Callithrix jacchus: one gene and its partners. The protein of the gene in region 1 binds, or shares a complex with, the protein of each later gene. Links are inferred from orthologs where the notes say so. Each region holds a gene or a part of one and is shown in the gene's direction. Other genes may lie near its edges. The genes, in order: ITSN1, AP2A2 and FCHSD2.

Evidence for each region.
Region 2: the proteins of ITSN1 (region 1) and AP2A2 are in contact, whole or in part, in a crystal structure (PDB 3HS8), measured with the Mus musculus proteins. The link is inferred for Callithrix jacchus from reciprocal best matches to the Homo sapiens genes ITSN1 and AP2A2. Residues at the interface, in NP_034717.2 of Mus musculus: Asn841, Trp843, Ala844, Phe846, Ser847, Ser848; in XP_006536218.1 of Mus musculus: Glu308, Gly320, Val321, Glu324, Gln329, Gly331, Leu332, Lys333, Phe346, Gly348, Asn349, Lys350, Gly386, Ala387, Gln388.
Region 3: the proteins of ITSN1 (region 1) and FCHSD2 are in contact, whole or in part, in a crystal structure (PDB 6GBU), measured with the Homo sapiens proteins. The link is inferred for Callithrix jacchus from reciprocal best matches to the Homo sapiens genes ITSN1 and FCHSD2. Residues at the interface, in NP_003015.2 of Homo sapiens: Pro1076, Ile1078, Gly1098, Leu1100, Leu1102, Gln1117, Ala1118, Arg1119, Gly1120, Lys1121, Lys1122, Arg1123, Leu1136, Ser1137, Pro1138; in NP_055639.2 of Homo sapiens: Tyr576, Gln581, Thr582, Asp584, Glu585, Gln602, Asp603, Asp604, Asp605, Gly606, Phe607, Val618, Pro620, Val622, Leu623.

What each region holds. Positions count from the first base shown.
Region 1 is NC_133522.1:39,959,472-39,969,431, forward strand, and holds the end of ITSN1 (intersectin-1), read left to right. Parts: intron 1-238; coding exon 239-321; intron 322-640; coding exon 641-724; intron 725-1,503; coding exon 1,504-1,677; intron 1,678-2,908; coding exon 2,909-3,057; 3' UTR 3,058-8,161; downstream 8,162-9,960. UniProt on the Homo sapiens protein: Adapter protein that provides a link between the endocytic membrane traffic and the actin assembly machinery. Acts as a guanine nucleotide exchange factor (GEF) for CDC42, and thereby stimulates actin nucleation mediated by WASL and the ARP2/3 complex.
Region 2 is NC_133511.1:130,932,630-130,942,589, reverse strand, and holds part of AP2A2 (AP-2 complex subunit alpha-2), read left to right. Parts: intron 1-844; coding exon 845-946; intron 947-3,839; coding exon 3,840-3,948; intron 3,949-4,613; coding exon 4,614-4,764; intron 4,765-5,826; coding exon 5,827-5,995; intron 5,996-7,185; coding exon 7,186-7,323; intron 7,324-9,960. UniProt on the Homo sapiens protein: Component of the adaptor protein complex 2 (AP-2). Adaptor protein complexes function in protein transport via transport vesicles in different membrane traffic pathways.
Region 3 is NC_133511.1:67,816,815-67,826,874, forward strand, and holds the start of FCHSD2 (F-BAR and double SH3 domains protein 2), read left to right. Parts: upstream 1-3,033; 5' UTR 3,034-3,166; coding exon 3,167-3,193; exon of another isoform or gene 3,194-3,696; intron 3,697-4,298; coding exon 4,299-4,396; intron 4,397-10,060. Other genes in the region: uncharacterized protein LOC118145596, read right to left, coding at 2,303-2,983. UniProt on the Homo sapiens protein: Adapter protein that plays a role in endocytosis via clathrin-coated pits. Contributes to the internalization of cell surface receptors, such as integrin ITGB1 and transferrin receptor.

The sequences.
Region 1 (9,960 bases):
CCTGGAACATGAATTCAGGTCTTGAGGTCATCCATGGAAATGGCCCTCATGCCTTTACTATTGACGGCAGGAGTAAGTATTAGCATCACGTGACATAAAATCAGATTCTCTTTCCCAAGCCTTTGTTGTTAAAATCAAATGAACAAAGAAAACAGAGTCCTGGCAACAGTGTTTGAACAGACCTGAAGCCCTTTTCCTGAGTTTCTGTTTGGCAACTTTCTGTCTTTTTCTGTCCAAGGACTGCCTGGGTGCAGAAAATCAAAGCTGCTTCTGAACTCTACATAGAGACTGAGAAAAAGAAGCGCGAGAAAGCGTACCTGGGTAATGCATGGCCCTGTGGGGTGTCCCACACAGCTGGGCAGGAGGGAGGGCCATTTGGCTGGGCTGAGAATCCTCCAAATAGAAGATTCCCCTGGACCTAGAGGAGGGGCGTGAGATGGGATGAAAGAGAGCTTGGGGTGAGATGCGAACGGGGGATGGAGGGCAAATGCCAGGAGCAAGGAAGCCAGAGTTTAAGGAGAGGAGGGGAGAATTACTTTTGAGTAGGGAGAGGTCCATGACATGAATCGTGAGGCTCGCAGACATGGGAAAGGCATTGTATGTTCAAATGAAGCGTTTTGCGTTTTTCCTGCCATCATAGTCCGTTCCCAGAGGGCAACAGGCATTGGAAGGTTGATGGTGAACGTGGTCGAAGGCATTGAGCTGAAACCCTGTCGGTCACATGGTAAGGCTCTGAGGTGGTCCAGGCTCCTGCTTTAGGGTTGGAAGCTGGGTCTGCGTTCCCCACACCCCCACCCAGCTCCAAATTGAATGTGCTATTTCCATACTCCCCATCTCCTTCCCGAATTGGTTTAACTAGCACTTGTTAAAAACCTGGAGGTTTTTTGTTTTTTAAAATCCTTCCTACCGTTCTGTTTCTCCAAGGGATCTGAGTGGCGGCATTCACAGTGGCTGTGACACAGAATAAGGCCAAAGTGAGGAGACAGGAAGGGCCTAGTTTCAAAGCCCACTCAAGTAATTAATTATTTGAGCTTAGTTTAAGGATGAACCTGACTTCTGGGGGTTTTCACCTGGAGTCTCCATTGAAATCCAGGTGAAATATCTGCCACTTATTAAGCGTGGTAGTTATTAAGAGGGGTGCTGGCTGGGCGTGGTGGCTCACACCTGTAATCCCAGCACTTAGGAAGGCCAAGGCAGGCAGATCACCTGAGGCCAGGAGTTCAAGACCAGCCTGGCGAACATGGCAAAACTCTGTCTCTACTAAAAAGAAAAAGAAAACTTAGCCGGGCGTGGTGGCAGGCATCTACAATGCTAGCTATTCAGGAGGATGAGGCAGGAGAATCACTTGAGCCCAGGAGGTGGAGGCTGTGGTGAGCTGAGATCGTACCACTGCACTCCAGCCTGGGCGACAGATCAAGACTCCATCTAAAAAAAAAGAAAAAAAAGAGTGGGGATCAAAATGAGGTGTGATTTCCACCTGGTAAAGGCTTTTGTTCCCTCCAGGGAAGAGCAACCCATACTGCGAGGTGACCATGGGTTCCCAATGCCACATCACTAAGACAATCCAGGACACTCTAAACCCCAAGTGGAACTCCAACTGCCAGTTTTTCATCCGAGACCTGGAGCAGGAAGTCCTCTGCATCACTGTGTTTGAGAGGGACCAGTTTTCACCAGATGGTGAGTAGAATGCGGCCCTGAGGTGATTCCTTCTTCCCTGGTGCTAGTTTGTGTGGGTTCATGTTTTCTTACCTGGGGACTTGGTGCCAGGATTCCTGGGGTTTCCCTCCCAAGAGATGAGGCTGGCTGGCACAAGACGAGGCTCCGTCTCCCCTGGAGGTGTCTTCTGGAGGCGTTTCATCACATGTGGACAGAGCATGCTTGGTCTAGAACTGTGCCAGCTGCCCTGGGCAAACACTACCATCTTCTGCTTTCTAAAGCAAGTGACTCTGGAGACGGGTGTATTTAAGAGCCTCAGCATAGTTCTTCAGTCCTTGGCAAAAAAGCTGTGCTGGCAATGTTTGAAACTGGCTAATGGAACAAGAATGTTAGCCCACAGCAGTAGCCTCAGAATCGGCCAGGTCCCTTTGGGTGGCATTTCTGTGGCAGTTAAGTAGGCAAACGGATGCAGTCGTGTTGGATGAATCATTTCTTCAACCAGCCTTCTCTTTCTGCTTGGGCTGGGAAAAGAATAGTCTTGGCCCCATGATTCCAAGAAACTACCTGTCTCTCCCTCAACCCAATAAAAATCACCACTGGGCATGGTGGTACAGGCCTGGAATCCCAACACTTTGGGAGACTGAGGCAGGAGGATCGCTTGAGCCCAGGAGTCTAAGACCAGCCTGGGCAACATAATGGGACCTTGTCTCTACAAAAAATACAAAACTTAGCCAGGCATGGCGGCATGCACTTGTAGATCCAGCTACTTGGGAGGCTGAGGCAGGAGGATCGCTTGAGCCTGGGAGGTCGAGGCTGCAGTGAGCATCAGTGCAGCTGTAGTGGCAGTAGTGCAGTGATGCCACTACACTCCAGCCCAGGTGACAAAGCAAGACCCTGTTGCTGGAGTCTGTCTCACAGACCCCAGCTGCACGATGGATGAATACATGCACTCAGACACAAATTTCCAGTGAATGAATGGGCCAAGGGGTTGTGAGCCACTCACAGAGAGAGATCACAGCTACACGGTGCTGAGTAGTTCACCCTCTTCCTATTTATTTGGTATAGATTTAGTAACAGGGGCTTTAAGTCACCCCACTCGGCTGGGGGGTGAGTTGGAAATCCTAGGTTTACGTCAGAGCCCAGAGAAGAAGGGAGGTTGTGGCAGTTCATCAGGAGGTCCCAATATGACAGACACATGCCTTGAAGAGGGGGAACGGTCCCTCTTAGCTGCGTCTGTTTGTTCTCTTTTCAGATTTTTTGGGCCGGACGGAGATCCGCGTGGCGGACATCAAGAAAGACCAGGGCTCCAAGGGTCCCGTTACGAAGTGTCTTCTGCTGCACGAAGTCCCCACGGGAGAGATTGTGGTCCGCTTGGACCTGCAGTTGTTCGATGAACCATAGGTAGCGGGCTCGATGTGCTCAGCAGGGTCCCAGCCCACGGCAGCACATACTGTCTGAAAATAGTGTTCCTTTTCTAAGAAACCACCATCTGGTGTTCAGTCACAGGGATATGGGACGGCAAAGACAGGACCCTCAAAGCTCCTAGGAATAATTCTCGACAATCCTCCCTGCCCCAAAATAATTTCCTGTTTTATGAAACTCAGCTGTGTTTTCCTTTGTCCTCACTCCAGATCTCATTATGGCTTCTAGGGTCGCTGAAATCCCATAGGTCTCAAAAGAGTGCAGTTGGGAATCTAGCCCCTTCCCAGGCTTGAGGGATGGTCTGGTTACTATAAAATAGATTTATAAATGCAATGTCTATATTTTTGGAGAACTCACATAACCCTCCTATTTCTTACATCCACCAGTCCCCAAGTAGACTTCTTGGCCTACGATGCCCAGTCCTTGGTGTGCGTTTAGAAACTGATGACGGTCCTGTCATTGCTTCAGAATCCCATCTCTCCCACTGGGAAATGCTGCCTGGAGCTGATCACTCGGTGAGGCGGTCTGATCAGGCCCTGGCTTAGCTCTTTCAAGAGCTGGTCTATGGAAGTTTCCAGTATGTGCGCCATTATAGCCGTTCCTTCCCCTCTAGACCTTGTATTAATATATGTCAATGAAAACACACCGGTGCATTGTTGCGTGGATTTAGTTCTGATTGCCAGCATGCTTGGAATATGGTCACAGAAAGTCATTATCTAGAAAGTCACCCTGTGCTGGATCAGGTCACTGCAGGTCACCAGAAAGGCAACTTGACAACTGTCTCGGTCGGCAGCCATGTTGGAAAAAATCCCTTTTGGCTTGGAGGTCCTGTGATATTTCATGCAGCAGGAGTTCTGTGCGTGAATGTGCTGAATCCTGACTGTGGTGGGAAATTTCAACAGCTGTCTTTGGTACGTTCCCCAGAAGCCATGTCCTAGATCCCCAAGGCGTGAAAAGGGAAAATGTCAAGCTAGAGGTTGGGGAAGAAAATGATGGCAATCCATTATGTGGTGGGGGAAAGACCCTAGGAGCATGCAAGCCCCACACATCCTGGGACGAAGACCTAAGACACTTTCCCACCCTCCACCCCATCCACCCCAGCCTCGCAGCAATGTGCTTGTTGCGAGAGGCAGGAGTGTATGACCATGTGCCAAGCTGTTTGGTTTGAGTTGTTTAATTTTTTTTTCCCTTAAATGCCAGGAGATAGTCTGGTTAGTTAGATAGTGACTTGATTTGCTAATGAAAGGTGGGGGCCGTATCTTGTTTGCATGTTCATGTTCTCATAACCCTAGTTTGTTGTGGTCATGAAATGTTCTTTGCATGTTCTGTAGGTACTGGAGTCTAGCTTTCCTGCAGTAGACGGTCTTCTCTTTGATTGTCGGTCCTTAGACTTTAAATAGGGTTGTAAAAGTGCTTTCCAAGTGATAGCATCAGCTTCGTGGCAGAGTACCCCCTCTGCTGGGAACTGAATGTGTAGTGTTATAATTTCCCATGACAGCCCGGTCATATTTCAAGCAATGTTTTAAAAGTGTGTGTTGGAAAGGACAACAAAGTTTACATTTCATACTTTAAAGAAATCCTTATTATTTATTTATTGAAGATAGCGTAGAATTTTGTATCAAGAACAACAGACATACGTATTTTTTGAAACAAGCAGATATACCCTTTAGTTAGAAACTTCCAACTGAACATATTAGAGACCAAATTAAACTTCAGGCATGCATTTGTTTACCATTTCCCAGCAGAAAACATGGTTAAGATACTTTGTTTATATTTTTTGATGTTGTTAAGAAACTTTTAAATCTATAAACAGACATGCAACTCATGCTTTCCTATCTCTCTAACCAATACAGTTTGTTCAGTGTATTTATGAAAGACATGTTACCATGACAGAAAAAAAAAGTATGTGTAAATGGGGCAGTGTGGGTCTCCATTCCAATCTCTTCTTGTTTTCTGTTCGGTCTTTTCTTCATTGACTTTATTTGCGTGTTAGTGTTGGTCATCATTGTTCGTGTAGGTAGCGTGTGGTATGCACAATGACAAACAATCCTTTTAGGTCCCAGGTCACCCACTCCTAGTATCCTATTATTGGAATTAATGTAGCATGAGAAAGCATTATGTGACTCTTTTTCCTCAAGTGACTCTGTTGAGCATTGTTGAGAAGCTCCTGCTGTGCAGCAAGTTCTGGATCCGTGTCCTTGTATTTACTGGTGTTCTTTGTCATGTGACCAGTCGTGCTTATGGATGAGTCTGGCTGGCCCTCGGATCCAGCTGTGATTCATGACATGCGGTTGAGTTGTGTCAAGGGGATTGAGGAACATGGGTGATGCATGGAGTCTCAAACCCTCGGGTCCCACTGTTCCTTCACCTCTACCTTCTTGATCATCTGGGCTATATTTCCTAGAAATTAAATGCCCCTTGCCAACAAGGAGTCTGTCTCCTAGCTCTGTTTTCTAGATATAGGAGTTCTCTAGGCCACTGCATCCTGGCATCCTGATTCCAGCCTTTTAAACACCCTTTAAGTGCCCCTCTGCTGTGAACTACACTGCTAGCTCCTCCCGCGGACGCTGATTTCCTTCAGCCCACAAAGGGGCTGTCCTGGTCATAGGGTTACCCAGCGACCCTCAGTCATCCCCGAGAACTGAACTACCCCGGGACCTTTTGGGCTGAGCCTTCTTCAGCAGCTCTCTAGAAGGGAGAGTTCACATCCCAGTCCCTCTGGGGCAGGGCCTCTGGCTGCTGGCATCATCCTGGCAGGTAGAGGGACAGCATCGTCTCCTGGAACCAGGTTCACTGTGATCATTACAGCCTGAAGATGTGGTTCATTCAGATCCAGGCCTGGCCTAATGTGGAAAGAGGGACCTTTCTAGGTGCAGGTCACCAGGAATGCTTGAGAAACTAGAGCCAGATTTCCTTGTTTGTTTGGTTAACATGTCCCTGTCCTCTGACAGCAGAGGAAAAAACTCTGTGCCCAAAGAACATTCATGTAAGAGAAGGCATTTTTTTTTCTTCTTTGCTCTTTAAACAACCTAAAGTATGGCCTAAGTGTATGAAAGTAACTGATTTCATCTAGAGCAGACCTGAATTTAACTGGGGAAAAGAAATCCCATCAGAAAATGAGTAAACTGACCACCCACATTGTGTCTTATCTCGGTGACCTTGTCCTCCATGGGTGTATTCTGGGGTGGCAGAGGAGTCAGGTGCTAGCACCAGCAGGGAAGGACAAATGCAGGTCTGCCTTCCAAGGCTGAGCAGGCCGGCTGTCTCTCCAGCAGCTGGCTAGGACAAGTGTAAGGCCACTGACCACACAGAACGAGGATGTTCTAGAATCCGATGCGGCTGAAGATAAAGGGAAAAATGGACAAGGCACTTCTGACTTTACTGGAAAGGAGGGGCTCCTGGAGTATATTTTGGAAAAGGCCAGTACTTTGTTTAGGCAGAAAAAGACTTCTCTATCTCCTACAAGTTGTTTTTTTTCTAGTTGATTGGGCCTTTTTGATAGATAAGAAGAAATTGTGTTTTGTATGTGTGAAGACTTTAAGAATTTCTGTTGGAAACATAAAATATGATTTGATCTGATTTGGTTTGATTTGATTGCTAAGTTCTCCGCTCCTCTTCAAGGTTAGTGATGTGCTTCATAGGAGACACTAGCACTTTTACATGAACATCTGGTGTCCTTCGGATATAACAGGGTCCTTTTGGGCTTGAGGTGAGTGTGCAATTAGCAATGGGTCTGCTTGGTCCAGATAGCTTGTTTGCAAGTTTAGAGCATCCTATGCTGGAAGGTGGGATGAAAACAAATGCACCTGGATGGCTTTGTCTTGTTTCTAGATAGAAGAGCTTAAGCTCACACCAGGCAGAAGCATGACCTGTAGCCCTAGAAACCAGTGGCGTGACGAGTCCTCAGATAGTGTAGTCTGAGCCACCAGAAGAGGCATCAGGGAAAACTAACACCTCCTTCTCTTTGCACCCTAGGGTGCTGAAATGCCTGCTAGAGACTTTCCAGGAATGGCCCACGGGCTGCTTAGTGTCTAGTTACGATGTTCATTCCCTCTTTTTCCTTGGAGTGGCCCAGTGAGACCAAATGCTTGTGTTTTTCTTTGTTTCCAGTTCATTCGTTCAAATGACACAGAAGACGAATCCACTTCTGGGAAGGCGGAGCTCAGATGAGGATTGATGGGCAGCCTTTGTTCTGGGCAGATCTCAGGGGCAGAAACAGGCTTGTATTAAGTATAAGTGGCAGGTGCTTTCCTAGAACAGCCCTAACCTGCACTGGTGAGGTAGGGTCAGGAATTGCCACACAGGAACCAAAACATGGATCTAGTGGCCTCCTGCACACAGACCCTCCGTTCCTTTTAAGGATGTTCAATGTTTGATAAAATAGGGCCATTTTCTTTTCTTTCTTTTATCCCCAGCTACAGTGTAATTGCCTACCTGCCTGGGCCCCTTCTATAGGAAGGTGGGCTTTCCTTGTCCATCAGGCTGCACTCAGGAGGTGATACTGTAAAGCAGCAGAAAAACTGAGGGTGCAAAGAACGCACAGCTGCCCCTCAGGGGGCAGCTCCCTCAAGCTCTTCTGCCCAGTAATGTTACAAGCTTAAGAGGAGCCTGATTAGAGCCATCCTGGGGACCAAGGAATGTATTCCCTGCAACTTCTTCCTTCTAGGGGCCCCTCAGGTCAGCCCATTCCAGGAGAAGCAGCCTTAGGCCCGTTTGCAGTTCGCACCCCCTGCCACTCCCATGTGCCTGCCAGCCTGGTCTCCGATAAAGACATGGCTCAGTCCCTGCTCTCCTTGTTACAGTGGCTTGTACTTCCTGTGAAGTAGCCCAGGGCCCGCCTTCTAGAGGGAATATTTCCCTCAAGCCCTTGGATATTTTTATTCTATTTTGAATGGTCCCGATCGATAACCATTGCTTTGTGCGGGGTTCTTCAAAGAAATAATGCAGACCAGCCAGGCATGGAGGCTCACGCCTGTAATCCCAACACTTTGGAAGGCCAAAGCAGGTGGATTAACTGAGGTCAGGAGTTCGAGACCAGCCTGGCCAACGTGGCAAAACACCATCTCTATTAAAAATAGAAAAATTAGCTGGGCATGGTGACAGGCACCTGTAATCCCAGCTACTCCCGCTGATGCAGGAGAATTGCTCGAACTCAGGAGGCGGAGGTGGCAGTGAGCTGAGATGGTGCCACTACACTCCAGCCTGAGTGACAGAGAGAGACTCCTTCTCAAAAAAAAAAAAAAAGAACGAATGCAGACCTCTTCTTGCTGGATCTGACTCCGAGGAAGTAATTGGCTGGTCAACTTAATAACACCCTACAGCTTCCTCTTTCTGAGTAAGGATCTTGCTTCTTGGTACTTGGAAAGCAGTTGTTTATTTGAGCTAGAGGAAAGGAAAGTTCTAGAACTCCTGTTTCCTCACCCTGCGCTGTATCAGATCCAGGATATGTCTGCAGGTCATCAAGATCCACTAAGATACATAACTTCATATCAGCAGCAGCCAGAGGAAAAAAATCAGTTCCTGATGGGCGTGGGAGCTTAGTCCACATGAAAGAAAACATGTAACAGCTGTCTGTCTTGGGAGCCTTAAAACCCAGACACCAGCACACTAGACAATCCATCTCTGGGTTGTGATCGCTCAGAAACATCTTAATAGTTAATGTACTGTTCATTTAGGGAGTCCCCATCCTGGTCCAGGACACCTTCCAAGAAGCTGAGAGCCAGCTCGGATGGGCCTGCCTTAGTGGCATTCCAAGCTTAATTGCATTGGGTTGGTGCAAAAGTAATTGCGATTTTTGCCATTGCTCTTAATGGCAAACTAACTTGAAGTCATTAAAATAACACCCAACGCTTATTTTAAAAATTTCACATCGACCTTCCAGTAACTTCTTTAGTTCGGTGCAGCCTCAGTCAGTTCCTCCATTCAAAGGAACCCCCTTTACCCTAGCCCTGGGGGAGCCAGATTATAACCACATAATGATGTTTTTGACACTATGTGTGCTTGTCATATTTCAGGGTCAGTTTCCCCTACTGGATGTCAGGGGTGTTTTGTGAGTCGTGAGTTAATAGGATTCTGTTCTATTTTCTGTGCCAGCCTATATTGTTAGTATCGTCTGCCTAGTATGAATATTTTAGTGTTCAAAGCCCACCAAACAAAGCTGTGTTCAAAAGTGGACTTATTTCGTCAGCCTTGAAAAAAAAGTCAGCGTTTCTCCGATATTTCCTGAGGATTAACCAGAAACTAAGGTTTCTTTTTAGGCAGTGGAAAGAATGCATATTTTCTTCTTCCAGAAGCTCTGGTTTTGTACTTTTGTCTTTTGAAAGAGTAACATTCCTTTGCTTGGTCTTTGCATTTCTACTTTTTTCACTCAAATCTCTTATTTCCTGCCGTTCCTTTATCTAAACAGAATGGGGGCCTCGGGCAGACAGGAATTAAAGAAAGGGTGGTGGCTTTGCAGCTGGGTGAGGAGCAGCGGCTGACGTTCTGCACTGTCACCGCGGGGGGTGGAGGGTCTCCCTGGAGGAGGAGGAAACTCGCTGGAGGAAATTCGCTGTTTTCACTGGCGGATTTCAAGGTGCCGGCTCCACCTACCGCAGCTGCTTGGAGTTGCTCTTGTAGATCGCAGAAGGTGATGTGGGGTGTAGGGGAAGACAGGAAAACTGACTCAGAGCTAGGAATGCGGGCCTGGCAGAGACAGAACGCTGGGTGGGAAGGAAGCTCGCGGCGGGCCTGGGGTTCGAGTCTACGCACCAGGGGTTTCCAGTGAGACCTTGCTCTTCCCTACCGCTGGGTTGGGGGCTGCACGGAGGTCCTCAACCTTTCCACTCTTTCTGCAAATGCTTCGGTGTCTGTCGGCTGGGTGGGCTGCAAGGCAGGCGAACT
Region 2 (9,960 bases), on another chromosome or scaffold:
TGTTGGTCAGGCTGGTCTTAAACTCCTGACCTCAGGTGATCCACCTGCCTTGGCCTCCCAAAGTGCTGGGATTACAGGTGTGAGCCACTGTGCTGGCGCAAGTAGACATTTCCTGAGCTGTTTGCCTTTTCAGAGTGAATAGGTATCGTTTATTTAAAGTATTTGTGGGAGAACGTCTTTGTGTAACTAAAGTCTTCTTTCAAGAGGTGCGAGTGACTGAATCCCTAGTGCTTGTGCTGGGACAGTAACGGGCTGCCTGGTGCTTTGGGGAGGACCCCTTGTGCCCTGGGGTCTGAATCTGTTCTCAGTGAGCCAGAATAGCATGGAGGGAGGACTTGGGTGCTGGGCCTGGTGGCCTCATCCAGACTGTGGTTCAGTGACTGCCAGGACCACTTTCCAAAAAGGAGAATGGAAAAGGACTTCTTCAGCTGCTTTTTTCTGCGGTCTCACTTCTGGGTTGTAAAGATTTAAATCAGTCTAAAGGTGGTGTCTCCTGCTGCAGTGAACTTGGAATGATTAGATCAGAGGCACGAGTGCAGGCGACAGTGGAGGCCAGGCCAGGAGAGGGCAGCACGTGTGCAGCCCCAGGCTTGACCTGCGTGGCCGAGCGCCGCCCTCTGGCTCTTCACACTGGTGGGATCTGGGCTGAGCATAACTGAGTTTCCCAGCTTTTAAGGAGAGGCTGGCAAAGAAAACCTACGCTGTCGGTCTCTCCAAGTAGGCCAAAGTGGCCGTGGGCTGCTGGCATGTTGCTGGTAGGCTTCAGGTTTTGTTTGGAAGATGAGTTAACACGAGCGTGTAGCTTCCAGTGTTTTGACTGTTGTGTGTGTGCGTTTTCTTTCAGGGTGTGGTGACTGCAGCCACGAGTCTGATCACCACTTTAGCACAGAAGAACCCAGAGGAGTTTAAAACCTCCGTGTCTCTGGCCGTCTCTAGGCTAAGCAGAGTAAGTCTGTCTGGGGGAGCATAAGTGAGGGTGGGTTTTGTCTCATTCATTTATTAGCTTACTTTTAGAATACAAGGCATGGGGTCTGTTTGTAAATTCGGGGTGAAAACCCACTTGGCTTCTCTTTCAACCTTCTTCTTAATTCAGAGCTGTTCCGTCTGTGCGGAGCCCAGTTCCCTGTTCCTGTCGTGTGAGCGAGCACCCAGTACCACTCGGGAGGAGGGGTGGCACCCAGGGCCCGTGTCCCCCGCGGGCAGGCGCTGCTGGCTCTGCCTTGGGACCCACCGGCTGGCGTGTGCGCTGACGCCTGCTGTTGAGCTGTGTGTTTGGGTTTTTTGTAGGTGGACCTGCAGCGCACATTCTTGTTTTGTTCAACGTTGTGAAGTGTTTGTTTTGTGTGCAGCGGTTACACGTTCATTTCTGATGCTGCATAGAATCGGTTGTGTGAACTGACCCCTGCAGTTGACCTCTGTCCTGTTGAACACTTAGCTCCTTGTCCTCTGGGGCTACTGTGTCCCCTCTAGCGTGAGCAGTCTTGGCTGTCCCTTGGTTTCCATGCACACGAGATGCTGTGGGCGTCTGTTGAGATGTGGTGTGGCTCAGTTAGGGGCTGCAGCTCCTGAACCTGAGGAGACAGGTGGTGCCAGACCAGCCTCCCGTGTGGTCTGCCTGGCCTTCCCAGCAGTAGGAGGCGTGGGCACAGCACGTGCTAGTGTTAGCCCCTTGGGATTTTTGTTTTGTTTTGTTTTCTTGACATAGAGTTTCGCTCTGATGCCCAGGCTAGAGTGCAGTGGTGCAGTCTCGGCCTCCCGGGTTCAAGAGATTCTTCCGCCTCAGCCTCTTGAGTAGCTGGGATTATAGGCTGCAGCATCACGCCCGGCTGATTTTTGTATTTTTAGTAGAGATGAGGTTTCACCATGTTGGCCAGGCTGGCCTCAAAGTCCTGACCTCAGGCAGTCCGCCTGTCTTGGCCTCCCAACTGCTAGGATTGCAGGTGTCACCATCGCAGTCTGCTTCCTTGTGATTTAAATCTGCCTTTTCCTGATTATCAGTGAGGTTGAGGACCTTTGCATGTTGATTGGCTGTTTGGGTATCTTGTTTTGTGCCGGGCCTGAGACTCTTACCCATTTTTGCCCTGGGTCGTCTTGTCTTTGTGAGTGTGACGTCTGCTCTAGAATGTTGTGTTGCTGGCACGCTTGATCACGTCAGAGAAGTTCCTTTCTCTGTTTGCCAAAGTTTCTATCATTAGCTGGTAAAACCGTTTGAATCTGGAGTTTTCTTTGTGGGAAACTTTCTGATTATGAATTCAGTTTACTTTATAAGTGGAGAAATGTGCATATTTTCTTCCTCTTTTTCTCTTTCTTTGAGTCAGTGTCTTGCTCATTACCCAGCCTGGAGTGCAGTATCATAATCTTGTCTCACTGCAATCTCCACCTGGGTTCAAGTGATTCTCCTGCCTCAGCCTCCCAAATAGATGGGATTACAGGCGCCCCCCCGCCCCCCACCGTGTCTAGCTAATTTTTGTATTTTTAGTAGAGACAAGGTTTCGCCATGTTGGCCAGGCTGGGTCTTGAACTCCTGACCTCAGGTGATCTGCCTGCCTCAGCCTCCCAAAGTGCTGGGATGACAGGCGTGAGCCACCGCTCCCAGCCTCCTTTCCTTTGGGTTGAGATGAATTTTTGTTGCCTTTCTCTTTATATTTGTTTCAAATATGTACATTTAAGGCTATACGTTTTTCTGTGAGCCTGGCTTTAGCTGCATACGTGTTTGAGGGACGGCTCCCACTGGCTGTGTCTCTGTCACGTAAGTGCTGTGATTCTTGCCTTTTCTGCTTTGCATTTGTGCCTTTCAGCCCTCTCTTTGACAGGAAGCCTAGAGCTCACCTCCCTGCAGCAGGTGTCTGTGACCCCCGTCTGGAATGGTGTATTTCAGCTTAGGGCAGGAGTCAGGGTGAACTTTTCTGGATAGGTTCACCTAAAGCCTAAAAGTGTCTCACATGTGAGCTTTGTAGGAAGGGAGGAACTACCCTGACCTCCTGGAAGCAGGAGTCACCGGGCTGTCAGTGGAAATGGATGGACGTTGTAGTGATAGTCGTTTGTTCAAGAGGTTGATGGAGGATCTGCCAAGCCAAGGGCCACGTTGGACAGAGAGATGGGATGTGAGTGAGGCGGGCAGATGCCTCCTCGAGCTCAGCGCCTGGGCGGCCTGTGGGGGACCAGGGGCTGTGGGGTTGGGTCAGGGTGCCAGCTTCTTGGGGGTATACTTCTTCCTTCTGAGATGCCTTGCGTGCTCTCTCTCTTGAGTTTTCTTTTTTTTTTTTTTTGAGATAGAATGTCAGTCCGTCGCCAGGCTCCAGGCTGGAGTGCAATGGCACAATCTCAGCTCACTGCAACCTCCGCCTCCTGGGTTCAAGCAGTTCTCCTGCCTCAGCCTCCTGAGTAGCTGGGACTACAGGCGTGCACCACCACATCCAGCTAATTTTTGTATTTTTAGTAGAGACGAGGTTTCACCATGTTGGCCAGGATGGTCTCCATCTCTTGACCTGGTGATCCACCCACCTCGGCCTCCCAAAGAGCTGGGATTACAGGCGTGAGCCACCGCACCGGCCCAAGTTTCATTCATGTTCCAGTGCACAAAGGAAAGACTGGAGATTCAAATCCACGTGCTGTGGTATCTTGTACTGAGTTCGGGCTGCCATTCAGCTGTGCGGCGTGTGTGCCGCCTCTCACAGTGACCCCGAGGGGTCCCAAGCAGTGTCAGACGCTCCTGGCGTGTGAAACAAAACCGTTTTTCCAGCTCAGGCCTGACTGGAGGAGTGAATGTGGCTTTTCCTTGGGTTCCCGCAGTGGGGACTCGTGCTGGGCGTCGTGTCTCATTGCCTGTGCTCTTACAGATCGTGACGTCCGCGTCAACAGATCTTCAGGATTACACTTACTATTTTGTCCCGGCTCCCTGGCTGTCTGTCAAACTGCTGAGGCTGCTGCAGTGCTACCCACCCCCAGGTAATGCGCGGGCGGAGGCTCCTGAAGCTGCACCAGCTGATTCCCTATCTCAGATTCAAGTGGCTTGTTGATGACTTTAAGAAGTGTGTTACCGACCCCGCCTCCTGATTCGTGGGCCTTGCTGCTGGTGCTGCCGTGCGCCCTGGCTTTCATGGAGTTACTGCAGAGCCTATACTTTTGTTAGGGCTTGCGTCTGTTTGTGCTTTGATAGTATCAGATCTGTGCAGTAGGTTTTCTTTCTTTTTGAGATGGAGTGTCCCTCTCTTGCCCAGGCTGGCGTGATCTCAGTTCACTGCAACCTTTGCCTCCAGGGTTCAAGTGATTCTACCACCTCAGCCTCCTGAGTAGCTGAGATCACAGGCACCTGCCATCATGCCTGGCTAATTTTTGCATTTTTGTAGAGATGGGGTTTCACCATGTTGGCCAGGCTGGTCTTGAACTCCTGACCTCAGGTGATCTGGCCACCTCAGCCTCCCAAAGTGCTGGGATTACAGGTGTGAGCCACCGTGCCCGGCCTTTTTCAGTTTTGTAAATGCTCCTAGCTGGGGACACAAATGTGAGTGAATATTAAAAATGCTCTCACAATACGTGGGTGCAGTGGGAGGGTGGGGTGGGGTGGGCTACGGGCCACGGGAGCCTGGTGAGCACCGTTCTGTCTTGCCCAGAAGACCCCGCAGTTCGAGGCCGCCTGACGGAGTGCCTGGAGACCATCCTGAACAAAGCCCAGGAACCGCCCAAGTCGAAGAAGGTGCAGCACTCCAACGCCAAGAACGCCGTGCTCTTCGAGGCCATCAGCTTAATCATTCACCACGACAGGTGGGTCGGCCGTCTGCGGAGGCGCCTTCACCTTGTGCACGCGCACATGCTCCTTCTCACTGGCACGAGACTGGGCGGATCACGCCTAGTTTATGCGGTCCACAGGCCTCTTCTTCATCCTGCCCGTGTGCTCCCTGCCTGACTCCTTTCTTCTTTCTCTGCAGCCAGCCCCTCCTGCTCTGAGCTCACTGTGGATTGCTTAGCTGACCATGGTCTCATCCCCGACAGGGGCCTTCTCCTCCTTCCCCGAGCATCCCCACTCCTGATGGGCCTCTCGTGTGATGGAGCAGAGAGGAGACGGGGAGGGCGGGAGGTGTGCGCAGACGTGTCCTGTGGCTTTGCTGGGCGTGAAGCTGCACTTGGTGGGTCCAGGGTGCTAGGGCAGTGCTGGAGACTTGCTTTAGGGTCCTGTGAGAATGAGATGGCAGCTCCCAGCAGGCTCCTGATCACCAGGGAACATGCCAGGCTGTGGGCAGAGGCTCTCTACAGCTAGTGGGCACCACCCATCGGCTATTGTAGCCTTTTTACAAATGTAGTTTCCCATGATGAAAACGCAGTCCGAGAGTCATGCTTCAGAATTGGGAGCTGCTAAAACTGAAATTTCCCGTTTTAGAGAAAGCTCTGTTGTTACATGAGGAGAAGCCACATCCTGAGGAGACAGTAGGGTCGGGGTGGCAGCCACGCTCCCCACCTCCTCAACCTTCTCTCTGCCCTGGGCTGGTGCCTCTGGCTGACAGGCCATTGGGGGTCACAGCTTGACTGGCCTCCCGCAGGCCTGACACAGATTGAGGCGCAGGAGATGCTGGGAAGCCTCCGGCAGACACACGGGCTGTGACTCTCACTGTGGGGAGGCACAGAATGGACGCAACACAGATGTCAGGGGTAGGGGTCAAGCGTCTACATTCAGGGAGGCCCCTGGATTCCCACCTGAGCAGCATGGTGGCGGGGAGTGTGGTGTGACTTTGCTGTCTGCCATCTGGACCCGTCAGGGAATGTGGGTTCTGTCCAGTTTGTGTTGTGTGTGTTGAGGAAACTCCCCCCACTTCCTCTCCCTCCACACAGTGAGCCGAACCTGCTCGTCCGCGCCTGCAACCAGCTGGGCCAGTTCCTGCAGCACCGGGAAACCAACCTGCGCTACCTGGCCCTGGAGAGCATGTGCACGCTGGCCAGCTCTGAGTTCTCCCACGAGGCCGTCAAGACGCACATCGAGACAGTCATCAATGCCCTGAAGGCGAGTCCCTGTCCTCGGGGTCTGCTCACTCCCTGCGCAGGTGCCATGGGTCTTCCCCTGAAGGCTGGGGGACGCACTGCTTCCTGGCTCCCCGCAGAGATGGACGTGGTGTTGGTGCTGCTGGCCTCCGCCTGGCACCTGCTGTCAGGCGGGCGCACCACTGTTCAGGGCCGTGCTGCCTCCTGGCTAGGCTGAGTGTGGCATCCACGGCAGCCCTCTCCCTGCCATGGGCAGGCCCCCTTGTGCCGTCCTGCACGTGCACAGTCCTGACAAGTAGAAATGGTTCTTCTTGGTAGAAGGATTAAGTTTTTTTACCTTACCTCCAAGAAAACCCCCCTTTTGCAAAGGAAACTCACTTTTTTCGAGGATTAAAATTTCAGAGTTGGAAGAGCCCAGTTGAGGTTGTCTGTTGTCAGCCTTTGTGAGTCTCCAGAGCAGCCCCTGAGGGTTTGCGCCATGTGAGGTCGCCTGAGGTGTGTCCACCACATTCCCTGTCTGAGCCAGCCTTGGGCTGTGGCTGGGCTGCTCCCACTGCCCCTGTGTGTCTGCGTGTGGCTCATGGGTGTCCCGGCTGGCATACAAGGGCTTGTGGTGGCATTTGGTCTTCTGGATTCTTCTTGGTCTTGGACGGTGTGTGTTTTACTCACTCCCTGCTGTCAGAAAGGCTGACACTCATTTGCACACGGCCAGCATTAGGGCTGCTGGTGGCCACTCCCCTGTCCTTTGCTGGTAGCAGAGCTGTGCAGGCCTCAGGCTTTCTCATGCTGTAGAGCCTCTGGGGGGCTCATCAGCTCAGGCTCTGGGGTGGGATATGAGAACCTGGGACAGCTCCATGGCAGTGCCAGAGGCAGTGGGGTCTTCGGCCACACGGAGGAGAGGCCTTGATGGCCCGCACCAGGCTGTGTGCTCCGTCCTAATGTAGCTGGCTTGTGCGGAGGGAGGAGGCAACGAGGGCACTGGGCTCGATTCTGGGCTGTCCAGACCCACGTGCCCCAGTGCAGGGAGTGGGAGGGGCCGGTGCGTTGGGGAGGGAGGACTGTGCATGGCTGGAGCCCATTGCCTGGACCTGGATGTGTGTGTGAGAGAAGCTCAGAGTGGGCATTGAGACGCGGTGCTGGGCCTGTCCCCCAGCTGGTCCCCAAGCCTGGGCCTTGCTCCTGTGGCCTCTTACTCTGTGCCTTGTTCCCCAGACCGAGCGGGACGTGAGCGTGCGGCAGCGGGCCGTGGACCTCCTCTACGCTATGTGCGACCGCAGCAATGCCCCACAGATCGTGGCCGAGATGCTGAGCTATCTGGAGACGGCCGACTACTCCATTCGAGAAGAGATTGTGAGTTCTGCTGGCCTCTGAGTCCTCTCCTGCCGCAGACGCGAATCTCACTGCAGGATTTCCTTAGTGCTCTGCGATTCTGTCCGGCAGGGCTTGGCTGAGAACCCGTGAGATGCTGGATACAAGGCTCCTCTGCCTCTGTTTTAGTTCACACTTTCAAGCTGGGCGTGGTCCCAGCTTACAGAGGCTGAGGCGGGAGGATCACCTGAGGCCAGGAGGTTGAGGCTGCAGTGAGCTGAGATCATGTCATTGCACTCCAGGCTGGGCAGCACGGCGAGACCCTGTCTTAAAAAAGTTAGCATTTTTGGTGGAGTCATTTGGTCTGGAAGGTAACTAAAATGCTGCCCTGTGCGGCTTCTCTGGCCTGCCTGTCCTTTTGGTGGTGGCACTGCAGCCCCGGGTCTTAGTGAGGCTGCACCGACTGTGCTGGGCTGCACAAATCTAGACTTCTCTGGGCAGAATTCTTCTTAACTGTGTTGCATTCGAGCCCCTGAATTAACCCTTCGTGGCTTGGCTTTTGTGTGTGTGTCTCTTGATCTTTGGAGGGGTGTGATCTAGGCCATAGCTTTGTTTCCCGCATTGTTTTTATCACAAAGTAGGTGTGCACGCCTGCCAGATGGCGGAAGGCTGAGCATGACTGAAAACCTGAGGGCAGAAACCCTTGTGGAGGCCACATGGTCAGCAGAGCAGAGGGCCTGAGGCCTCTCCCATGCTCACAGGCCTCTCAGGCTCACTGTGTCTGTGGATGGTGGGGTTTAAGGGGGGGCCCGTGTGTCCTTGTGGGAGGCTGGCGGCTGTCGCCAGCCGGGACCACAGCCTCTGGTTGAGGCTGAGACACCGCCTCTGTTGTATAGGAAGTGCTTTGTTATTTGTCTTTTTGGGCAAAGTGCAGCTTGAGGCCTCCTTGGGAGCTTTGCCAAGAGCCAGGGTTGGAGTTGGTGGCAGGTGACAGGGTTGCCCTGGGCAGCTGTGTGTGGTCATGCCCAGGTGAGACTCTGAGGTTTTCAGGGATCTTTGAGTGAACGGAGGGGCTGGGTGCTGAGGGTGAAATGACCACAGACTGAGCTTCAGTGAGGCGCTGCACCTACAGAGAGCAGGGGCCAGGAGGCGGCTCTCCCGCTGGACTGCCCACCTCCAGGACAGTGGGCCTGGGAGGGTGAGGGGGATGGGACGGGTGGGCTGACTCCCAAGGGCAGGGCCCATGGGGTGGGTTTGGTGTAGGGCAGGGCTGAGTGGGTCCTGTTTGTGGAGTGGCCAGGCAGGTACTTGTTGACTATGGCCAGGGGTCCCTCTCTGGCCTGGCTGGGGCAGTGTGTCCTGGTCTTGGCACCTGTGGTGGTGTCGGGCTGGCTCTGGGGACGGCTGTCACAGGAGCCTCATTCCTGATCCTCCTGAGTGTTCTGAGCAGACAGAAGCAGTGTGCGTCTGAGTGCTGTTGTGCAGATTTTGAGGTCCCGGGCATTCGTCAGCCCGGTGTCTGCTCTCGCCCTTCTATGCAATGAGCGGCAATCCTGAGCCGGCTCCTGCTGTGGGGAGTAAAACAAGTGTGATGAGTGACCTCAGCTGCTCCTGCCATGAGGAGTAAGACAGGTGTGATGAGTGGTGACCTCACGGCTCCTGCTGTGCGGAGTCAGACAGGTGCTGCGTCTTGGCCCGAGTGGTGCTCCCCACACCCCATTCCTTCAGCCAGGCATGGCAGAGTGTGTTCTCTGTGGCTGTGCCAGGTGCTGGGTGTCCACACCGGACCTGGCCCACTCCTCCTCCTCTGCACCTTCCCATCCGTGGAGGGGCATGGATTAAGAGCAGGGCCGAGGGTCGCTGTGCCGTAGGTGGGATGGCTGGAGGAAGTGCCCCATGGTCCGGGGCTTCAGGGGGCATTACACTCTGGGGGCGCTGTGTGGACTTCTGCAGGAGGTGGGAGGGGCCTGATCTGGAGAGGATGATGCTGCAGGGGCCACTGGGAGGGCAGAGCAGCAGTTTATGGAGGGGTGGTGGGTGGCTCAGCACAGGGTAGGGAGCAGGGCATGTGAGACGGGTAGACGGGTAGGTGGGGACCCTGCCAGTGAGGTGTGAGGGCCCTGTGCACAGCCCCGGGCTGAGGCAGGGCTCAGAGGCAATGCATTTTGGAATGATGCTCTGGAAGTATCATGGAGTTTTTCGGGGTCCAGGCTCCAGGGAGGGACTCTGGGGAGGCACAATCATCAGCATTTGAGAGGCCAGCAGCAGGGCATGGGGAGGGGCGGCAGGGCGTGGGAGGGGGCGTCAGGGCATTTGGGGGGTGTCCTCGGGAGGTGTGTGGTCTTGACGCCTGCCAGCATTGGTGTTGGCAGCTGGTGCTGTTGGAAGGGGCTTGGTGCAAGGCGAGATGACTTTGGGAAGATGAATTTGGTGTTGGACAGCCTGGCAGAGTTCCATGCGTGTGGCTGCCACGTGGGTGTGGGCTGGGCAGGCGCCTCCAGGTGCCTGGGGGGTAAAGGAGTGGTGGGTCTCCCGTGAGAGTGAACCAGAGAGGGGAAGAAGGGGTACCCCCAGGTGAGACTTGCAGGAAAGATTGGCTGGAGCAGGAGGAAACCATCAGAGAAGTGGCTGCCAGGACCCCAGGGTGGCACGGTCAGAGGGCGCTGCGGCCAGGTGCTG
Region 3 (10,060 bases), on another chromosome or scaffold:
ACTAGCCCTGTGTTGGTCTGGACCTCAGTCTTGGTGAAAGCTGATTCTATCTTGCTTAGCTCTAGAACCCCAGTGCTTGCACAGGCTGGTAACAAAGCAGTTCCTTAGCAAGAATTTTTTGAATGAATGATGAATCAATAAGCACTTATTAAGCACTACATGCCAGGCCCTGAGGTTGGAGAAATTCTATTTCATACAGCAAGCCTGAGGCCAGCATTATACCTCCATTTTACAAGTGAGGAAACAAGGCTGAAATAAGTGAATTGACTAGCACAAGGCTTCACAATAAATTGGTGTGGAGCCTAGAGCCCAGGCTAGGCTACCTGTGGCCTGGGCTCTAGCTGCTGCCCCACAGCTATCAGGACCTTGGGTCTGCATCCACCTGTTCCCTTGCCCCAGGCCTTCCCTGACTTAATTAAGGATTCTGGTGAAGGGCTATCTTTTTTTTTTTTAATACTTTTTTTCAATTCTAAGTTTCAATTCAGGTAGAAGTGCTAACCTTTGAAGGCAGAAATAGCAAGACTAGTCTCCTAGTTCATACACAGCTCTAGATTAGTCTGACTCAAAACACAGCTCTGACTCTATCACTTTTCTGTACAAGAATCTAGCCTAACTCACTGTAAACAACCTGGGTTCAAGTTCCACCTTTTCAATTTCTGGCCTTGTGGTCATCTGGCAAGTTACTTGGGTCTCTCTAGGCCTCATTGCCTTCCTCTTTGGCTGGACTGCACTTCTGAGAACAGCTGTCTGGGGGCTCAACTTCTGAAAAAACAGTCAAGCAATCCAGCTCAGTCTCCACACAGCCCCGGGACTCAAAAAACTCCCTGGGCATGGGGAAGAGGTAATCCTCTTCTGAGGACTCCAAGGGAGGCCGATAACCCTCCTCGTAGATGGTCTGGACAGAGCAGGAAGGTGTGTGTGGTGGTGGGGGGCCCTACTTAGATAAGGTGTGTGTGGTGGTGGTGGGGCCTTCTTAGGGGGCCCTCACTGGCAGATAAGGGAGCCCGAGCTCGCCTAGCCTGTTAAGGGGTAGGCAAAGTGAACCGGCACCCAGAGATCCTGACTCCCAGACAAGGGCTTCCTCTATGGCCCCTCCTGCCTCCTCTACTTTTCCTCGTGCTTATTATCTTGCACGTTTCTGTTTTAAAATAACCCATAGAACCTTCCTGCCGTGGAAATTCTAGTCCTGCTGTGTGACCTTCAGAAAGGCTTCCCTCTAAGGGCTCTTGCCTCCCCGTCTGTGAAATGGGGGCCTTGGCCTTAATGTTCTCTCGACTCCCTCTCAGCTAAGTCCGTGATCTTTGACTTGAATGCCCTGCAGTAGAGAGCCTCTGCTTCCTTTGCAGGGCGCCTTTCCGCCCTATAATCGCAACGGCCTAGCACCTGCGGCCAGCCGCAAAGCGACTTGTCCTCGCTCGCCCCCCTCGCGCACATCTAGCTGGTAGGGAGAGAGGGTGTTGAGGGACTGAGACGAAGCAAAAGCCGGAATTCTGGTATCCCATAGGCATGCTAACCCCCTCCCCACTGCAAACATTTACCCGCGAGCGTCGCCCCCCACCCCTTACACACACACACACACACACACACACACACACACACACACACACACACACACTACAGCCGCAGAGGCAGACGGAAGACGGGGGTGGCCTGTGCGCGTGCGTCGGCGCGGAGCTCTCTCCCGCCCACATGCGCGCCCCCGAACTGAGGCGCGCGCCGCGGCGAGCTGGCGGGAAAGCGCGCGGGAAGCCCCGGGCTGGCTCCCAGCGTCGGGGAGGGAGGCCAGGAGGCGTCTGGAACGTGCCACTCTCAGAGAGAAAGGGGGGATTTTCGCGTGGCGCTGGCGTTTTTACACCTCCCAGCCACCGACCAATCCGTTAGTTCCCCCCATGCCCCCTGCGGTACGAAGTCCCGTGCCGTGTCTTCTCTCCCTCCCGGCAGCCCGGGCCTGCCCCTCGAACCCCGCTCTGGACGAAGCGGTTCCCTTCGCCACCGAAGCGGGGCGCTGCGCCGCGCGGCGAGGCCGGAAATTCCCGCGGCTAGAGTGGTGGAGCCCTAGCGGGGAGCGCGGCGCCACCTTCCTCCTCCCCGGCGGGCGGGGGCGTTAGGCCCAGTGAGGGCCGGGCCGCCTGAGTGGGTGGGGTGAGGGCCGCTGCGTCCGCCCGGAGCTGCGGCGCCGGTGGCGGACCGGGAGCGCGGACAACGCGGCTGCGGCTCACCCGCCACCCGGCCGGCCGAGACCCTCGTGCCCCCGCTCCCGGGCCCCCGCCCCCTCGCCATCTCCGCCTCCTTACTCACACACCCCCGGGCAGTCCGGGCCCCAGGCCTTCCCGGCGCTCCTCCCCCTTCTTCTCACACTCGCTCTCTGGCCGGGGTCCTCCTGCCGCCCGCCGGCCTGCTCTCTCCGGGGCAAGTCCTGTTTCTTAGGCTCTTCTTCACACACGCGCGCTCGCTGGGCTATCCCTTCCTCTCTGGCCCTCCTCCTCCAGGTTCTTGCTAACGCTGCCGTCGGGGAGGGTTGATGTCCCTTCAGCATCATGCAGCCGCCGCCGAGGAAGGTAAGGGCGCAGCTTGGGGGCTTTGGGGTTCGAGGTGGGGGATGCGTATGGGGAACGCGGCAGGGGCGACCGCTGCGCCCCCTTGCCCTTCCGCAAGGGGCCGTGACCGCCCTCGCCTTGGGCTTGTCACCGACTTGCCTTCGGCTCCAGGCGGAGGGCCGGCGTGTGAGGTCCTTTCCGACAGAGGGGCGGTGGGGGCTAGTCCCTCCTCTACGCTGGAGACCCCTAGACATTTCACAAGAGTTTCGGGTGTGCGTTTGTGTGTGCGCGCTTGGCAATGCTGTGCGCTGCAAAGTGCATTCTTGGGGCTGCACCGTGGGGGAGGCGGGGACGCCCCTGCAGCTTTGCAGAGCCTTGTGCGTGTATGATTGTTTAGTCTGCACCAGCTTTGAGCCCCCCAGTCGCTTGTCGCCAGCCCCGCCCATTTGCAAATTTGCGGGGGTTTTGTTTCTAGCCTAGCCTTAGGGTTTGGCCTGCTTTTCCCACGGGGCGGCCGAAAAGAAGTTGGAATAGTCACCGCCTCCCCAACCCAAGGGAAAACAAATTTAAGGATTGACGGGTCCTGCCTCGCCCTCGGCTGAGGGGCGAGGAGGCTGTCGTGCTGTCTAATGAAAAGCGAGGACCCGGCCCTGGAGGTGCGTGGCGTGTGCACTGCAATCCAAGCTTGGGTGGCCAGGGTGGGAGTGACGGGTGCACCCGGCTTGTCAGCAGCCTCCCCATTGTGCCCTTCCTCAGGTTTCCCAGGGGCCGAGGCTGTGTCCTTGTCTTTTTAATCCTACAGATGGATACTAAATATCTACTCTGGGCACTGGGTGGATGAGGCCGTTCTGTCCTCCCCTCGTGGGCAAACATTTGCCTAACGCCTAACTCACCCGTGTCTGCTGTCGCTGCTTTCTCTCTTTCCTAATCCGGGTTTCTCCATTTAAGTGAGTCTTTCTTTCCAATATGTACCCCCACCCATCCTGGTGGTCCTGCTTCTAAGGCCGCGATTCCAGACCGACCATAACTTCAAACCCTGGGGTTCCGGCCTGGAGGGCGGGTGGGCGAGGCTCTCTGGCCAGCAGGCATTTGCTGTTCTCGCTGTTTGAAGTGGAGCCTCCACGGGGACCGGCTTGCCGGGGTAGTTTAAAAGCACTGCAAATGCTGGAAGGTCACTTTTGCTTTCTCCTTTGTGAGAAAGAGATTGTGATTTGATGCGCTGTCTGCAAGTCGAGGGCATCGTTCTGAGACAGTGTGCTTTTTCGCAGCCATTATGGAGTTATTTTTGTAGTCGATTCATGCATATTATCATGATCGTGTAAATATTGGTCATTAAATATTAGGCATTCTTAGGCTCCCAATCCCCATCCACACTCTGCTCACCTCTCCTGGTGGTTAATGTCTTTGAATCCTTTTTTTTTGAAATAGAAGACAGGCTCTTTTAAAACTCTAGGAAGACCTAGACATAGACTGAGCTTGTGCATGAAATGGAATGACTGGCAGTTTATTTTGCACGTCTTTAGTTTGTAATATTTATAGTCGTGTATTTTCATTCAACTTTTGTTCAGGCTATTTGGCTTTAATTTTTCATTAAATAAGTATCTTCAATAACTAAAACTAGATGGCGAATAATGAATGGATTTATGGTCTTCAGGGGAGAGGCGACCAAGAGACATATATTCTGACAGATGTATTTTCCTTAAGCAATTTTTTTGGGTTAAATGTGTAAAAAGACCTTAATAAATATATGGTACATTTTAGGTGAAAGTTACACAAGAACTGAAAAACATTCAAGCTGAGCAGATGACAAAACTTCAAGCCAAACATCAAGCAGAATGTGATTTGCTTGAAGATATGAGGTAAGGTTATAGTAAATAGTTCAAGGACTTCTATTTCTCTGTTTCAAAGAACCTTTGAGTTACCAAACCCCAGGAACTGATGATGGAATTTCCTTTTGGATTTCCTGCTTTAAGTCTGTTAGAACTTTGACTCAGCTGGAAATTAGAACTGGAACTAACACAATACAAACTTTTTCCTTCAGTGGGGAAACCTGTAATGCATACATGGTATTGGGGAAAAAACAAGGACCTTAAATTAAGTCTCATTAGTCAAATTATAATAATTAAAGATTTTGTTTAAATAATCTTTCCTGGGAGTTGTAACAATCATTTTATTGACCTTAACAGTTTAACCAGTTAGATTTTAAACCAACACCTGTGGTTAATGGTTAATATCTGGGGGTGAGCCAGTCAATCCCAGATGATTATATGCTCTCTTTGGGTTAGAATATGACAAATACAACTTTATCTTTGAGTGCCAAATTTAGTGAGAGGTGTGTTTATCATATTTTACTATATTATTGAGGTTACTCATTCATAGTCAAGATGACTTTGAATAGCTAAGACATCTTGCTAACATTATGAAAATCAGTATTGTTTTTACCAGAGGGACAGATGACTTATTTTAATGAAAGAAATGCCACCTATTTAACAGTTTTGTAATGCAGACTGACGGTTCAAAGATTTTCGTCAAGGGTGGAAGATGATTTCCTTGTTGAAATAAGAGTGGCTGCAATTTGTATTTCCCCTTAGTAATACATTTATCAAATTGGAATTGGGTGTGTAAGCCTCATCCTATTTTTCTGGTGGTACACTGACTTCATGTTGGTTTCATGAAAAATATTAACTCTATGGTGTTATGATAGAATTATGTGTTTGGATTGGTGTTCGTAGCCCAAAGATTTTAGTTTTAAGAATTTCCTTTTTTCCTCTCCTATACTTAACTAAGGCACTATAAGCATTTTTGCAGTATACCTGTCTTCAGGGTTTCTGACTAAGACATGTAAATCTACTCATCCAAGCTGGATATATCAAGATTGTTGTTTCCTGAAACTGAAAATTATAATTTCAATTCTTTGTCTTCCCCCTCATTATTATGACCATAAAAAATATTTAGACTTCAAAATTCCTAATCGAGGTTGTGCACAGTGGCTCACGCCTGTAATCCCAGCCCTTTGTGAAGCTGAGGCAGGCAGATCACCTGAGGTTAGGAGTTCGAGACCAGCCTGGCCAACATAGTGAAACCCCTGTCTATACTAAAAATGCAAAAATTAGCCAGGCTTGGTGATACATGCCTGTAGTCCCAGCTACACTGCAGGCTGAGGTAGGAGAATTGCTTGAACCCAGGAGGAGGAAGTTGCAATGAGCTGAGATGGTGCCACTGCACTCCAGGCTGGGCAACAAAGTGAGACCTTGTCTCAAAAAAAGAAAAAAAAAAAATTCCTTTGTGAGATATCTGAAACTCTTGATACGGTTAAAAATGGAAGGTTTTTTAACATATTAAGGGAAGTAAGAAAATTCTAGATGAAGAAAATATTAAATTTTCAGAAGCAGTTCAGGAAGGCAGAATTAGTGTGTAAGGGAAGAACCTGTGTGGGGTATGGGCAGTCAATGGTTATAATAATTCCTGTTGATTGTATCTTCTAAAGATTTCTTGATTGCATTTTGTCTCCATTTTCTCCCTATTTGTAGCTTGGTGCAGGAGCTTATGGTTAAGGATATGGACATTGGAGTCAGAGAGTCCTTTGTGTCTTAATATCTGTGCTGACTTGTGGAAAATGAATTAATCTTTGTAAACTTAAGTTTCTTCATTTGTAAAATGGGGCAATATGGGCTCTGTTCCTCAAGGTTGTATAGATAAATGACAATGCATGTGAGATGTGGCACACATCTAAGCTAAGTTGATGAAGTCTGTTGTTCCTGCTGTTGTTGCTTAGTTTGTATTATTGATGATCCATCACATTTTGCTTGCATTATAGTAGTATCCTAATTATTGCAGTAGTGTCCTTATGCCTTCCATCTCCCATCTCTCCTTTTAAATATGTCTTCCACATTGCTACCAGTTAGCTTCCTAAAAACATAACTGTAGGCCAGGTGTGGTGGCTCATGCCTGTATTTCCAGCACTTTGGGAGCCTGAGGCAGGTGGATCACAAGGTTAGCAGTTGGAGACCAGCCTGGCCAAGATGGTGAAACCCTGTCTCTACTAAAAATACAAGAATTAGCTGGGCACAGTGGTGGGTACTTGTAATCACAACTACTTGGGAGGCTGAGGTAGGAGAATTGCTTCAAGCTGGGAGGTGGAGGTTGCAGTGAACTGAGATTCCCACCACTGCACTCTAGCTGGGGTGACAGAGCATGACTCTGTCTTGAACAAACAAAAAACATTATTATAGATTATTCCTCTGTGGCCTGCTGGATAGAGGCCGAACACCTTGTTATAGTATATATGGTTCTCTGCAACCCATCTGCAAGCTTCTTTTCCTGGCTTAATTTACTACCATTCCATGCCCATGCATCCTTCCTCTTTCTTCCGCCTGCTCTGGTCACTTGGGAGATCAGGTTGTCCAGTTGTGCACTCTACATTCATGGTTTTGTGTGTGCTGTTGTCTTTGTCTGGTGGTACCTTCCTCCCACTTTTTCACTTGGCACATTCTTGGTTACCAGTAACTGCAATTTCCTTGTTCTTTGTGATCTCAAAGGATTTTGATTTTGCATATGCTCTGGCATCCTCCCTCATGTGAAGTCTTTGGGGTTATGGGCCAAGTATTGCTCATTTTCTTTATACCCTTTGGTTAGCCGGTCAAATGAATGTAACTGGCTATATTTAAATGTATCTTATTTTTTCTTAGGTGAGATACTGTGCAAACTCTGTAGGGGGCTATAGGGTCCTCTGTAGAGCTTGTGTTATATACTTTGGTTCATTTGAGCACTTTAAATACACATCCTGTTTGTTGTAGAGTATATAATATGTAAAGGTGGAGATTGTTGGTGCTCAAGGATTAACAGGTTTTTTTTTTTTTTTAAAGGAGTCATTGTGTTCTGTTTATATTAAATTAAAGGAAGTAATCCTTTTACTTTGAGTTGTGAATTGGATACTTTATTACCTGCTAAAACATGAGTTTAGGTTTCTGATTTGCTTTTTTTTTTTTTTTCAGTGACGATATTGAAAAAGTTGAAACTTGCCTCCTCTTGGTATTCATGATAACTTCAGTTGCCTGAGGAGGGAGGTGATCTGGCTTCTCTTGTCTGCCCTAGCAGATGAAATGATCTTTTAAAAATTCATTGAAAATCTCTGAACTTAGGTGTTTTTTGTTTGTTTTTGAGACAAAGTCTTACTCTGTCAGCCAGGCTGGAGTGCAGTGGCGCAATCTCAGCTCACTTCAACCTCCGCCTCCTGAGTTCAAACAATTCACCTGCCTCAGTCTCCCTACTAGCTGGGAGTACAGACATGAGCCACCATGCCCAGCTAATGTTTTGTGTGTTTTTAGTAGAAACGGGGTTTCACCACTTTGGCCAGGCTGGTTTCGAACTTCTGACCTCAAGTGGTCTGTCCGCCCCTTCAGCCTCCCAAAGTGCTAGGATTACAGGTGTGAGCCACCGTGCCTGGCCTGAACTTGGGTTTTTATATGAATTAAGTTGTAACAGATTTTGCTTGCTTTTCTTCTTTTTAGACTCCTATATTCTCCTTCCTGAAATCCCACATAGAGTGCTCCTTCTCACCAGTGCCCCCTGCCAGTTTTATGGTCAATTTGAATTAGTATGAATTCACTCAGAAAAGTGCAAATACCTTTTTAGTCTTAAAATTAGTAGTAGAGTTTTTTTTGTTGTTTTTAAATTTGAGGTAGAGTTTCACTCTGTTCCTCAGGCTGGAATGCAGTGGTGCGATCTCTGCTCACTGTAACCTCTCCTCTTGGGCTCAAGTGATTCTCCCATCTCATCCTCTAGGGTAACTGAGACTATAGGTATGTGGCTAATTTTTGTATTTCTTGTGGAGATGAGGTGTCACCGTGTTACTCAGGCTGGTCTTAAACTTCTGGGCTCAAGCAATCCTAACATCAGGCCACTGTGCCCCACTTGAAAAAATGTCAGAAGTTTTTTATGACATTGAAAAGGTAAAAAAAAAAAATCCACAGCACATTAGACTGTAAATAGAATATTATGCTGAATTTTGTCTATTTCTTCCCTCTTACGTCTCTTCTTTTTTGTTTTCCTTTTTTTTTTTTCTTAAGAGACAGGGTATTGCTTTGTCACTCAGGCTGGAATGCTGTGGTGTGATCTTAGCTCACTGTGTCCTTTTCCTCCTGGGTTCAGGCAATCCTTCTGCCTCAGCCTCCCGAGTACCTAGGACTATAGACACGTGCCACCATGCCTGACTTATTTTAAAAATTCTGTAGAGACCAGATTTCTGTTTGTTGTGCAGGCTGGTCTTGAACTCTTGGACTCAAGTGATCCTCCTACCTAAAGTGCTGGGATTACAGGAGTGAGCTGCACTACTGCTGCAACCCACCAGTTCTTATGTTACAGAATTTTGAGGGGAGGAGACCAATTATGATACAGTTTTTCTCCTTTGTTCTCCTCCCCTTCTTCAGTTCATTTGTTCTGTGGATGCATTTGGAAGCTAGTATGTTGGGAGTGAAGTATGAGATGAAAAGACAGCTAATTTGTTGTTAATCAGGGACATTCCATACTTTGAGGAGGTTTTATGCTGATGTGTTTCCTGTTGACTTTTGCTGTCAGCCGTGGACAAGTACAGTTTACTTTCTTTTTAGTTTATTATATTTCTTTCTCTTTGCTTTTTAAGACCACTTACAATGTTTCTACATACTAGAGCCTGTATACTTTTCTTTTTAGGATTGTTTATCATATGCTATGCTGAGTAGAGTCAGTTAAGAAGTTTTTTGCAGTGATCCCGAATATAAAGAACTATCTTCTTAGAAGACATTTTAAGGAGGTCATTATCTAATATGGGAAAATTACTGAATTTTAGTCAGTTGGATATTATCATGTTTGTTCTTTTTATAGATGAAAGTGGAAACTGAGGCACAGTGAAATGAGGTGAATTATATTGGTGAGGACCTAAGCTATTTGTCCTGATTTCCATTCTACTGCACTCTCCCCTGTATCTGTGTTTCCCAAGCTTTTAACCAAGGAACTTGTCCAGTTGTAAAAAATATTTTGCCTATCAAAAAGTATGATATATTATCAGGAGGCTGGCCTCCTATGGTGGCTCACGCCTGGTTATCCCAGCACTTTGGGAGGCCGAGGTGGGTGGATCACTTGAAGTCAGGAGTTTGAGACTAGCCTGGCCAACATGATGAAACCCCATCTCTATTAAAAATATGAAAATCAACTGGGTGTGGTGGTGCACACCTATACTCCTAGCTACTCTAGCTGCTTGGGAGGCTGAGATTTGCTTGAACCTGGGAGGTGGAGGTTGCAGTGAGCTGAGATCGTGCCACAGCACTCCAGCCTGAGTGACAGAGTTATGCTCCAGGAGAGAGATCCAAGATGGCTGATTACTAGCAGCTCAGGATTGTACCTCCCAGTGAAAGCTCACAGAACTAGAGGACGCCACACTTTCAGATGAATTTTTTTTGCTCACAGACCAGGAGATTCCCAGCGAAGGAGCCCCACGGGTCGCCAGCATGACTCTTGTGGCTGGTGCTGCGGTTTTGCCAGCACCC